Linked DNA regions of Danio rerio. The protein of the gene in region 2 purifies or fractionates together with the protein of the main gene of each other region. This does not show direct contact. Links are inferred from orthologs where the notes say so. Each region holds a gene or a part of one and is shown on either strand. Other genes may lie near its edges.

Region 1 (4,265 bases), on a different chromosome or scaffold from region 2:
GAAAAGAAAATGAATGAATGAATGAACAAATGAACGAATGAATGAATGAAGGAAGGAAGGAAGGAAGGAAGGAAGGAAGGAAGGAACGAACTAAAGAATGAATGAATGAATGAATGAATGAATGAATGAATGAATGAATGAATGAATGTGGGTCACATAGGTTTAGTCTTTTTCGACCCACATTTTAAATACATTTAAATGATTTGGGTAAAGAAAAAATCTACCAATCAGTTCACTTCCAAAAAAAAAAACATTCAAAACGTGCCCAAAGCGCAATGCTTCCTGGGTTTATGAATTTCATTGCAGTCGTGACACACCAACATACACTGTAAAAAATGCAGGGTTCCACACAATTCATTCGTGTTGTCCTAACACAAATCGATTAAGTTAACTTGACACTTCTAATAAAATTATGTGGATTGAACATAAAAAAAATTAAGTTGTCCCAAATGAAATCTCAAAAATTGTGTTGTTTCAGCTCATTTTAATTAAGTAGTTTAAACTAGTTGTGTATTTGGCCCAGTTCATTAATTTGGCTAAGACTTGACCCAGATATGGTCCATGTTTGGCCCTTGTCTGATAGCCAGAATTGGTCCAGTCATGCACTGTAATTCTGATTGTGTGGGCCAAATCTGGGCCAGAGAAATTTTGCTATGTGATTAAACATTCAGAGCATTGAAATATTTGTAGCAAATGACAACTTATATTGTATGACTGATGTATTGTGAAAGATGTATGGACTATTATTATAAAACTTAAAATATCTTATCTTTTTTCTAAAAACATGTTCTTAAAGGGATAGTTCTCCCAAAAATGTCAATTCTGACATTATTTATTTATTGTTCACTTGTTCACTCAAATGTTTCTACCTCTGAACACAAAAGAAAAATTTTGAAAACCTGTAACCCTTGACTTCTATAGTATTTGTTTTTGCTACTATGGAAGTCATTGGTTAACGGTTTTCAGCTTTCTTCAAAATATATTCTTTTGTGTTCAACAGAATAAAGAAACTCATGATGGTTTGGTATGGATGCATGGTTTGAAACCACTCAAAGATGAGTAAATAGTAAGTAGATTGTAATATTTGGGTGAACTATCCCTTTAAGGTAAATAAATATGTGAAAAATCCAAATTTGCATTTTACAGACAAAAATATCAGCTGGTTTAAAAATACATTTGTGATAATGTCTTCCTAGATCATTTAGAGTAAAAATATTCTGCAACATTCAATATTAAAATTAGAAAAAGGTCACATTCATACACAACAGGTGTCTTAACACTGCAATATATAAAAAAAATAAATAAAAAAAAACGAAAATGTGGTTCTGGTATCAAAACAATGCCACTAATGTGTGTGCTTCTTGCCAAGTTTGGAAGCTTTAAATAAAAAAACAGGCACATAAGACAACAGTAGTAGGCGTTATTCCTACAGGATGAATAATGTGCACCCAAGAGCTTGTGGCGCCTCCTCGGAGAGCGCAGGTGTGCTCCAGACGCCCATGATCTCATCTGCTCACCTTCAGCCCCCGGATCTCGTTCAGATGCAGCTGCAGGCTGCGGTTCACCTCCCGAATCAGATTACTGTGATCCAGAATGACGCTCATTTTATCGGCTTCACACCTCCGGAGCCGCTGCACCAGCTCCTCTTTGCTCCATTGGAGGAGCTCTTCGTCCGTGAGGTTGGCGATGTCTTCTGCTGGACTTTCCGGCGCCTTGGATCCAGGCTGTGCTTGTGGAGAATTCTCCATTAGAAGAGGCGAGCTGCTGCTGCTGCTTCTGCTGCTGTGGTACCAGATCAAATATTAATGAGGCAGGCAGGCAGTGTCAGGAGGAGTCAGGGAGACTGAGGACGCATCGTGTAGAGATGCTCGTATCCGATGCCCTTACAGTGGGAGTCGCCTCGACTTTTCCCAAAGCAGCAACAGCTGATGAGCAGAAGGAAGGCCGGCATATAGAGCGAGTCCGCCCAATTTGTTCAGCACCGGCTCCCGTGCATAGTTCTTGTAAGTTTGGAAAAGTGACGGTGTATGATCGCCGGTGAGATGTGGGTGGGTTTAGGCGGCCCGGTGCGCTCGCCCCCGTCCGCCTCTGCGCGCTCCTGCATCCTCGTGGATATGGAGGAGAGACGGCAGCATCCTCAGCCCGAGCTCCGGAGAAATGAGCGTGACTGCAGCGAATGGGTAAATTCATTCTCTCTCTCTCTCTCTCTCTCTCTCTCTCTCTCTCTCTCTCTCTCTCTCTCTCTCTCTCTCTCTCTCTCTCTATCTCCGTTTGTGTGTGTCGTGCATGTTTGTGTGCGCGAGTGGCCGAGAGGTGATGCTGTTGTTCAAGTTCCATTTAAGTTTGTATCTAGCGCCATCTATTGACTCGTTAACACAGTCTTCTACACCAGAAAAAAATGTCTAAATACTAGGTAGGCTAATATTCATTCATTCATTCATTCATTCATTCATTCATTCATTTTCTTTTCGGCTTAGTCTCTTTATATGCAGTTTAATAAACTATTCTATTTCAAAAACACAACGCTATTTACTACAAATTACTATAGTCATTATTAGAAGTTTAGTAGTATATGATACTAGCCTTCTACAAATGAAAAAAGAGGCTTAAATACTAATATATGCAGTGTAATGAACTTTTCTATGGTTCAAAAACACTATAATAGGCTATTTACTACAAATTACCATAGTCATTTATAGAAGTTTAGAAGTATGTGATACTAGCCCAGGTGTGGGCAAACTTGATCCTGGAGTGCCAGTGCCCTGCATAGTTTAGCTCCAACCCTATTCAAACAGACGTCCATAGAGTCCATAGAATTATCATAGTCATTTTTTGATGTTTAGAACCATAAGATACTAACATTCTACAAATAAAAAAAAACGCTAACTAATATAGGCAGTATAATAAACGTTTTTGGTTCAAAAACACTATAATAATCTATTTACTACCAATTACAATACAAGTTTATTAGAAGCATAGATATAAGCTCTCTACTAATGATTTACTATCATTTACTATTTCTAAAGAAAAAAACATTACTGATATATGCAGTATAATAAACTTTTCTATGGTTTAAAAGCACTATATTTACTACAAATTAGTCAATTTTTAGAAGTTAAGAAGCATGATAGCATTCTACAAATGAAAAAAGATCCTCCTAAATATTGATATATGCAGTATAATAAACTCTTCTATTGGTTAGAACACTATAGCTATTTCCTACAAATTATCATATTAGAAGCATGTGATATTCGCCTTCTGCAAATGAAAAAAAATTTTCTTAAATACTGATATATGCAGTTTAATAAACATTTATATGGTTCAAAAACACTATAGCTTTTTACTACCAATTGCCATTGTCATTTTTCAGAAGCATATGATACTAGTGTTCTACTAATGGGGAAAAAATTCTTAAATGCTAATATATACAGTATAATAAACTTTTCTATTGTTCAAAAACACTATAGTAGCTACTTACTACAAATTGCCATAGTCATTCATAGAAGCATATAACACTAGCCTATTAAACTGCTTAAATACTAATATATTTAATAAACATTTATATGGTTTAAAACACTATAGTAGGCTATTTACTACAAATTACCGTTGTCATTTTAAAAACATATGATACTAGCTATATATCTAGTGTGTGTGTGTGTGTGTGTGTGTGTGTATATATATATATATATATATATATATATATATATATGGTATAATAAACTTTCTATTATATATACAGTATAATAAACTTTTCTATGGTTTAAAAGCAATATATTGACTACAAATTACCATAGTCGTTTTTTAGAAGTTTATATATGATACTAGCCTCCTACAAAAGAAAAAAAATACTAATATATGCAGTATATTAAACTTTTCTGTTGTTCAAAAACACTATACTAGCTATTTACTATTATGATAGCATTCTACAAATGAAAAAAGAGGCTTAAATGCTTATATATGCAGATACACGTTTCTATGATTCTAATAGTAGACTATTTATTTATCATAGTAATTTTTAGATATTTAGAAGCATAAGATACTTACATTCCACAAATAACAACTGCTTAAATACTAATATATGCAGTATAATAAACTTTTCTATGGTTCAAAAACACTATGGTAATTTACTACAAATTACCATAGTCATTTTTTAGAAGTTTAGAAGCCTGATACTAGCCTTCTACAAACGAAAAAAATACTAATATAAGTTCAAAAGCACTATTTACTACAAATTACCATAGTCTTTTAAAGAACCATGTGGGTGT
Region 2 (3,658 bases):
AAATAAAACATTTACCATTAAACAAAAATTCGATATGATTTTTTCAGTTCAAAATATAATCAATAACTTACTTTTTTTTTTCTGGGCATACATTTTTAAAAACCATCCATCAACATACAGTACAGAAATCTTATCTAGTAGTCTATAAAATTTCACATTCTATTAAAATATGCTTTATGCTGAGGGAGGCTTAATGTTGGTGGTGCATCATTCCTAGAGTCATTCCTAGAGTTAACCAATCTAGTATAAACAGTTTGGTCATGCCTGGTCTCAGATTAAATTTAGGGAGTATACTTTCATATATAACTCATTATTAGTACAGTTTTCCCATCCCACTTGCCATTTTTCGCATATATACTAAAGAATTTTAGGTTTCAGATAGGAATTAAACGTTCTGTCAATTAACATTACGCAGATAAATCCACTAAATCACATACATACATACACACACCTGTTGTGACCGTGAGCTGAAGCTACTACGTCGACTGTGTGATGAATGCACACTGTGTGCTGATTGTTCACTGTGAACCGAACGCCGGTCAAAATCATCAGCATATGGGTCACGTCTCCGAGAGTCATCGTCAAAGCTGGAGTCATAACCAGGGTAATATCGCCATGGATCGTCATACCCTTCCCTTCCCCTAGTGACGATTACCAAGAAAAGTGTTCATATGCAAAAACTAAAAGTATTAATAATAATAAAAGATGAATTGCATGAGTGCCTGCGAGTACCTGTTTTGATATTGTTGGTTGTAATACGCCTGTCCTCCTCTGTAACCATCTTGGTTATAATACCATCCATACATTTGATCATAGTATGCTTTGTAGCGTGGATCATAAGCAGCATTGGGATCATACCACCTGCTCCTATCTAAATACACACAAACACCCACAAAATAAGCAAAAGAATATAGAATACATAGAAGGCAGAGATTTGTAGCACTTAAGAGTCTTTACCTCCATAGGCATCGTATTGTCTCTTATAGTAGTTTGCATAGTATTCGTCATAGGCACTACGGCTGGATCTTGAAAAGTCTTCTTGATACCCCTGTCTAAGATTAGAGGAAAAAACTAAAACATTGGTTTCAGAGTAATTTTAGACAAGTGCACACTACCAAAAATCACTAAATGGCATACAGTTCAAGTGCTGTATTAAAAAGCCTTTCTGTGAATATAATGTTTTTGCAGAAAATCAATAATCCTACTTATGATAAACAGCTAGTAAGCACTGGTATGCAAGCATAGCGATGGTATCGACTGATTAAATTCTCCATTCGTGATAAGAACAATGTAATCAGCAACGTCAGGGGAATAGTACAGAAATTTGCTCTCAAATCAAACCAAGAAATCAAAGTGTAAAAACAAAAATCTGACAAAAATCTCAAATCATTAGAAAGTGAGTGAATGTGGAACAAGCCCTCACCTTGAGCTGGGCCTGTCAGAGTATTGACTGGTTCTAGAGCTTGGCCTCTCTGGTTGGCGTTCAGCCTCCCGATAGCCAGGATTCTGTCCATCATACCATCCGTATCGAGGATCGCCTCTACGGTAGGGATCATCCTACAAAAAAACAAACAAACATGTTGATACAAAATGTGGTAGGAATTGAATTCTTTATATGGAAATGTACTGATCATTACATCATGCACCTGATAATAATTTTGAGTTCTGGGATCCACAGGATACTGCGGTGGGTATGGTACTCTTCCATCCTGGTACTCCGGGTAGGCTCCTGGGTAGTACCCTGGGTAACCTGGACCAGGGGGCATGGCAGGAGGAACCCCATAACCTGATTGACTACCTAGAGATGAAGGAGGCCTTTGAGGTTCTTGAGGTGGTTGGGTGGTAGAGTTTCCAGATTGGGGTGGGTAAGGAGGTGGTTGGGCAGATCCAGGTCCAGTAGGAGGGGCGCCAGGATGTGTTGGAGGGGCCTGTGGAGGAGGCTGGTTTTGAGCTGGAGGTGGAGGAGGATGGGAGTTCAGAGTCTGATTATTGTCAAGTTGGTTGCTAGAGGGTAATGGGGGGTTGGAGTTCTGCTGATGGGACAGAGAATCAGTGTCAGACTGTCCCCCTTGCTGTGCATCTTTGGTGACCTGCAGGTAAAAGCCAGGTGTGTTATTCACCAAGCCTGCAGGATGGGTTGATTGAGAGACAGCTGGGACTGATGTGACCTGATTTGTAGACTGTGGCTGATGCATAGAAAAATCAAGCAGCTGATAATTTGAAGGTTGGTTGTGATTGGTGGAGGCAGCTGAAGAAGGCGGAGCTTGAGTAGCAGAAGGCGGAAGAAATTGGCTATCACCTTTAAGAGACTGGGCCCTTGAGAGGTTTGGTCGGGCTGCCTGACCATCGTTGGCCTCTCGCGTTAGATTCAAGACACCTTGAGCTGAGGAAGAACTGAAGTTTACTGGTGTCTGAGAAAAAAGAAGTGGTGGCTGATTTGTTGGAGGAGAATTCTGAGGCATTTGATTGGTCAATGAAGATTGAGGATGTGGGTGAACAGGTGCTGCTGTCTCTTGAGGACTTGGCAGAATTGATGGTTGTAAGAGATTTTGGGATGAAATCAAACTGTAATTAGAGGAAGGTGGCGCAATCAAGACGGGCTGGTTCAGAGCCTCTTCTGGAGGTGAGGTCACAAGCAAGGAGGCATATCCCAGACTTGCCTGAGGTGTAGAGTCTGGAGGAATCTCAAGGTTTTCAGAGGGAGGTTGTGGATCTGGCCTAGCTGGATGCAGATCAAGTGGCCCATCTTCTGGTGGCTGAATTACTTCAGATGGATGTGCTGGAACAAATGTTGCAGTCAGAGACGGTGCTGCAGGGGCTAACAGTATGTTAGCACTTAGACTGGCAGTGTCATTTTGAGCCCAGAGTGCAGTTGCAGGACTTTCGATGGGGCGTCGTGCCCCCTGAGCTCGAGATGAGGGTCGGCGTTCTGATAAGTAAATAGTCTCCAAGTTATCTGGAGGATGCTCTAAATTGCCAGGCTGCATGTCACGTCCACCCTTTTCCATGACCACACGTGCACGATCAACTTCAGCAGGTCGAACTCCTACACCATGTGAACGAACAGGCTCAAATGAGGAATTTGCACTTGCCTGGAACACACCAACTGGTTTAGGTGGACTAGGAGTTGGGAAAGTAGGACTTGCCTCTGCAGCTGGGTTAGAGTCTATTTGTTCAAAGTATCCACCAGTTGAGGGATGCAGTGGAGGGTGATCAGGTGGACGAGGACTCTCCTGTTGGATAAATGTTCCCACTACTTGTTGTCTACGAGGGACATGACCCCCACTGTGAGCACCGTGTCCACTACTGTGACTGACATTACTGTAGCTGGATGAGACACTTGCAGAGCGGGCAAGGCGAGGAGCAGAGTCTGGTGTCTCCAAGTTAGGTCCCCCCTCAAAGGCATGACTTGGAGGTGGCTCACTAGGCAGAACTTCCTGGTTTGGAACACATTCCAGATTCTCCACTGAATCACTTGGTCCTGTCCCAGCTCGTATGTTACCACTGTCATTCAAATAGGGACCAGAGAATTCTGTTGTTGAATGGAGAGGTTGATGAATTCCATTTACACGCCCCTCCCCTGTTAGAGTTTCTTCATTTTCAACATCATTTCCCCCAAAAAACATTGACAGAGTTCCTGAGTCACTAGGGACTTCAG
Region 3 (3,658 bases), on a different chromosome or scaffold from region 2:
GTGAATTGGGTAGGCTAAATTGTCTGTAGTGACTGAGTGTGTGTGTGAATGTGTGTGTAGATGTTTCCCAGAGATGGGTTGCAGCTGGAAGGGCATCCGCTGCGTAAAAACTTGCTGGATAAGTTGGCGGTTAAAAAAATATTACTTTAAAAATTGTTTTGTAAATAAATCATATGAACATTCTCTTCTATCTGTCAATAAAATTTATTAAATAATTAATTAATTATTATTATTATTAATAATAATAATAATAAATTAATAATTAATAAAAAATTATAAATAATTAATATTTAATAATTAATAAAGGGACTAAGCCGACAAGAAAATGAATGAATTTAAAAACGGAATAAATATACATGTACACACATGAAAACAATTAAATAAATAGTCGCAATTATGGACTAAAAATCCGCGGACTTATGACTGATACAGAATTTCATTATCATACATTATACCTCTGAATGTCTCTGTTCAGTCATGAGGGTCCGGTGTGGCAGGTGGCCTGGGCTCATCCCATGTACGGCAACATCCTGGCGTCCTGCTCCTACGACAGGAAGGTGATCATCTGGAAAGAGGAGAACAGCACCTGGGACAAGATGTATGAATACACAGGCCACGACTCCTCGGGTAACCTCCCTTCCCATTCTCAAATCACACGTTTCCATTTCACATTTTAGCAATATTTTTTAAGGGGTGGGAATCACCAGTTCCACAATATTGTCACGATACAGTTAGGGCTGTGCAATTAATCAAAAATTCGATTTCGATTTTAATTTTGGCTTCTAACGATTATGTAAAAACATTAATCGAGATAAACGATTATTGCATCATTTACTGCCCCCTTTCTAGTTGTACGCGTGTTGAAAATCAAAAGACATGCGAAAGAGAAACCATTTTAAGAGACAGTGCGCGATAATCCTTCTACCGCCTGTTTTTATAATTATTAATCAAACAATAAATGGAGAACATGTCTTTCTGCTCTTGACTCAAGGACTGCTGCAGCTAAAGTGTTTTTCTGACATTGAAGATGCATAAAGCACAGTTTGCTTCATATTTTTATTCTATTGTTTTTATTTCTCTTATGTTTGCAGGTGGGAAAATAACTGTATATGCAGTTGAAGTGAGAAATACTAGCCCTCCTGAATATTAGCAACTCTCTTCTCCCGTTTTCTGTTTAATGGAAAGAAGATTTCTGAACTGATTTATTTTATCTTTGTCATGATGACAGCACATAATATTTGACTAGATATTTTTCAAAATACAAGCATTCAGATTCAAAGTGCGATTTAAAGGCTTAATTAGTGTAATTAGGCAAGTTATTGTATAACAGTAGTTTCTTCTGCAGACAATCAAAAAATATATAGCTTAAGGGGGCTAATATTATAGACTTTAAAATGGGTTTCAAAATATTTAAACCTGCTTTTATTCTAGCCAAAATAAAAAAGCCTTTCACCAGGAGAAAAAAGTATTAGAGGAAATACGGTTAAATTCCAGTTAAACATCATTTGGAAAATATTTATTTAAAAAAAAATTACCAGGAGCGCTAATTATTTTGACTTAAACAGTAATGGTTTTGAATAATCGTGATTACAATTGTGACCAAAATAATCGTGATTATGATTTTTCCCAAAATCGAGCAGCCCTAGATACAGTATTATAGTGCTATTGTGCGATTATATTGCTATTTATTACCTGTTTTCAACTTTAAATTATGTCCTCAAAGGAAAATATCTGTTTTATCAGTTTATCTCACTAAAGTTTTGTTCATGCAGTGCAAAATGGGATTGTTAGGTGGACAAACTCATAAATAGTGTATGCACCTTTTTGCAATGCCACTTTATTTATTGTACTATTTTACTGTGTGCTAAAGATGACCCAACTCACCTGAAAAAAAAAAAAAAAAAAACAGGTTCAAAAAAACTCAACACCACCAGTGGTTCCCAACCTTTTTCTTTGGGGCTCCCCCCATGAACATATACAAACATTGGAGCCCCCCCACCATATAAATACACACGCACGCACACACATATGTACTGTGTATATATATATATATATATATATATATATATATATATATATATATATATATATATATATATATGTATGTGTGTGTGTGTGTTTGTGTAATATTAATATATAGTAATATGTATAGAAAATATTAATTAATCAGTTTTAACTTGTCTTGGCCTTCAATAAAACCAAAATCTAGGTAGGCTTTGTCATACTGTCTAATCTTTTTCTTCGCCTCTGAATAATCACTGCATTTACGTTTGTCTGCCATTTTTGTTTTGATTTTGCCTTCACGACACGTTGACAAGCAGATTGCGCGAGTGAGCAAAATTTAAATAATTATTTAAAGTTATTTATTTTAATTATTTTCACTATTATGTTGGAATTTTAAGCATGTGTTTAGATTTTTTTTTTGGTACTTAAAAATACATATATAATAGTAGGGCTGCTCGATTTTGGGAAAAATCATAATCACGATTATTTTGGTCATAATTGTAATCACGATTATTCAAAACCATTGCCAGTTAAAGTCAAAATTTTTAGCGCTCCTGAGATTTTTTTTTTTTTTTTTAAATATTTCCCAAATTATGTTTAACAGAGCAAGGAATTTTAACAGTATTTCCTATAATATTTTTTCTTCTATTTGTTTTATTTTAGCTAGATTAAAGAAAGGTTTAAATATTTTGAAACCAATTTAAGGTCAATATTATTAGCCCCCTTAAGCAAAATATATTTTTGATTGTCTGCAGAATAAACTACCGTTATAATGACTTGCCTTATTACTCTAATTAAGCCTTTGAACTGCACTTTAATCTGAATGCTTGTATTTTGAAAAATATCTAATAAAATATTATGTGCTGTCAATATAGCAAAGACAAAAAGAAATCAGTAATTAGAAATGAGACTATTATGTTCAGAAATAAGTTAATAAAATATTCTTTCCATGAAACAGAAATTGGGCAGGAAAAGGTTTGCTAATATTCAAGAGGGCTAATAATTCTGACTTCAACTGTATAACAACAGTTTAACAAACGAAACTAATTATTTAAAGGCTAATTTATGTCTGTGCGGTAAGGTTTCCTTATCCACGAGAGCAAAAGTGAAAGTGAACTTACTTTACGTCATGTTAATAGCAATGCGCTAATGGTGCGACGCAGCTGGCTCTTAAAGGTAATGGAAGATGAGACTCTGATTGGTTTATTCTCAAAACACACCTATAACTCATTAAGAAAATAAACTCAACCCTTTTAGACCATGCGCCATGGCGCAAAGCGGATTTTCCCGTCCTTAAGTTAGCAAAAATGCGTTCTGACATGCCCTGAAAGCGTTTGCGCCCTGCGTTTTGCGCTCTGCGCATGGACAGTCAAAATAGAGCCCTTTATTTCAAAATAGCCACTAGCAAGAAATCTAGCATATTGTATTGCTTCCTCTGTATATAATAGTGATTTTTTTTTTAATAGTTGGCTTATCTGCAACCTACACACTAGCCATTATTTTTATTAGAAGCAGACATGCATGTCAGACAAGCATTAATGAGCAGTAAATGCATTGTTTTAAGGGGAGATTTTACAGAGGATTCAAGATTTTTGGATAAAGGGATCATCCCTTTTGAGTTTTAAAGCCTCTCGTTTTGTACATCAGTGCTAAG

What was found.
Region 1: the proteins of sec16a (region 2) and sec23b purify together in Homo sapiens (affinity purification with mass spectrometry; 3 studies listed by BioGRID and IntAct, with this or other methods). This does not show direct contact. The link is inferred for Danio rerio from reciprocal best matches to the Homo sapiens genes SEC16A and SEC23B.
Region 3: the proteins of sec16a (region 2) and sec13 purify together in Homo sapiens (co-immunoprecipitation; 4 studies listed by BioGRID and IntAct, counting the BioPlex papers as one, with this or other methods). This does not show direct contact. The link is inferred for Danio rerio from reciprocal best matches to the Homo sapiens genes SEC16A and SEC13.

What each region holds. Positions count from the first base shown.
Region 1 is NC_133181.1:7,710,518-7,714,782, forward strand, and holds the start of sec23b (protein transport protein Sec23B), read left to right. Parts: upstream 1-1,428; 5' UTR 1,429-1,517; coding exon of another isoform or gene 1,518-1,748; 5' UTR 1,749-2,176; coding exon 2,177-2,180; intron 2,181-4,265. Other genes in the region: ccdc85al (coiled-coil domain containing 85A, like), read right to left, coding at 1,518-1,748. UniProt on the Homo sapiens protein: Component of the coat protein complex II (COPII) which promotes the formation of transport vesicles from the endoplasmic reticulum (ER).
Region 2 is NC_133196.1:6,562,987-6,566,644, forward strand, and holds part of sec16a (protein transport protein Sec16A), read right to left. Parts: coding exon 1,647-3,658; intron 1,558-1,646; coding exon 1,424-1,557; intron 1,053-1,423; coding exon 958-1,052; intron 872-957; coding exon 733-871; intron 642-732; coding exon 452-641; intron 1-451. UniProt on the Homo sapiens protein: Acts as a molecular scaffold that plays a key role in the organization of the endoplasmic reticulum exit sites (ERES), also known as transitional endoplasmic reticulum (tER).
Region 3 is NC_133197.1:32,949,576-32,953,233, forward strand, and holds part of sec13 (protein SEC13 homolog), read left to right. Parts: intron 1-475; coding exon 476-627; intron 628-3,658. UniProt on the Homo sapiens protein: Functions as a component of the nuclear pore complex (NPC) and the COPII coat. At the endoplasmic reticulum, SEC13 is involved in the biogenesis of COPII-coated vesicles.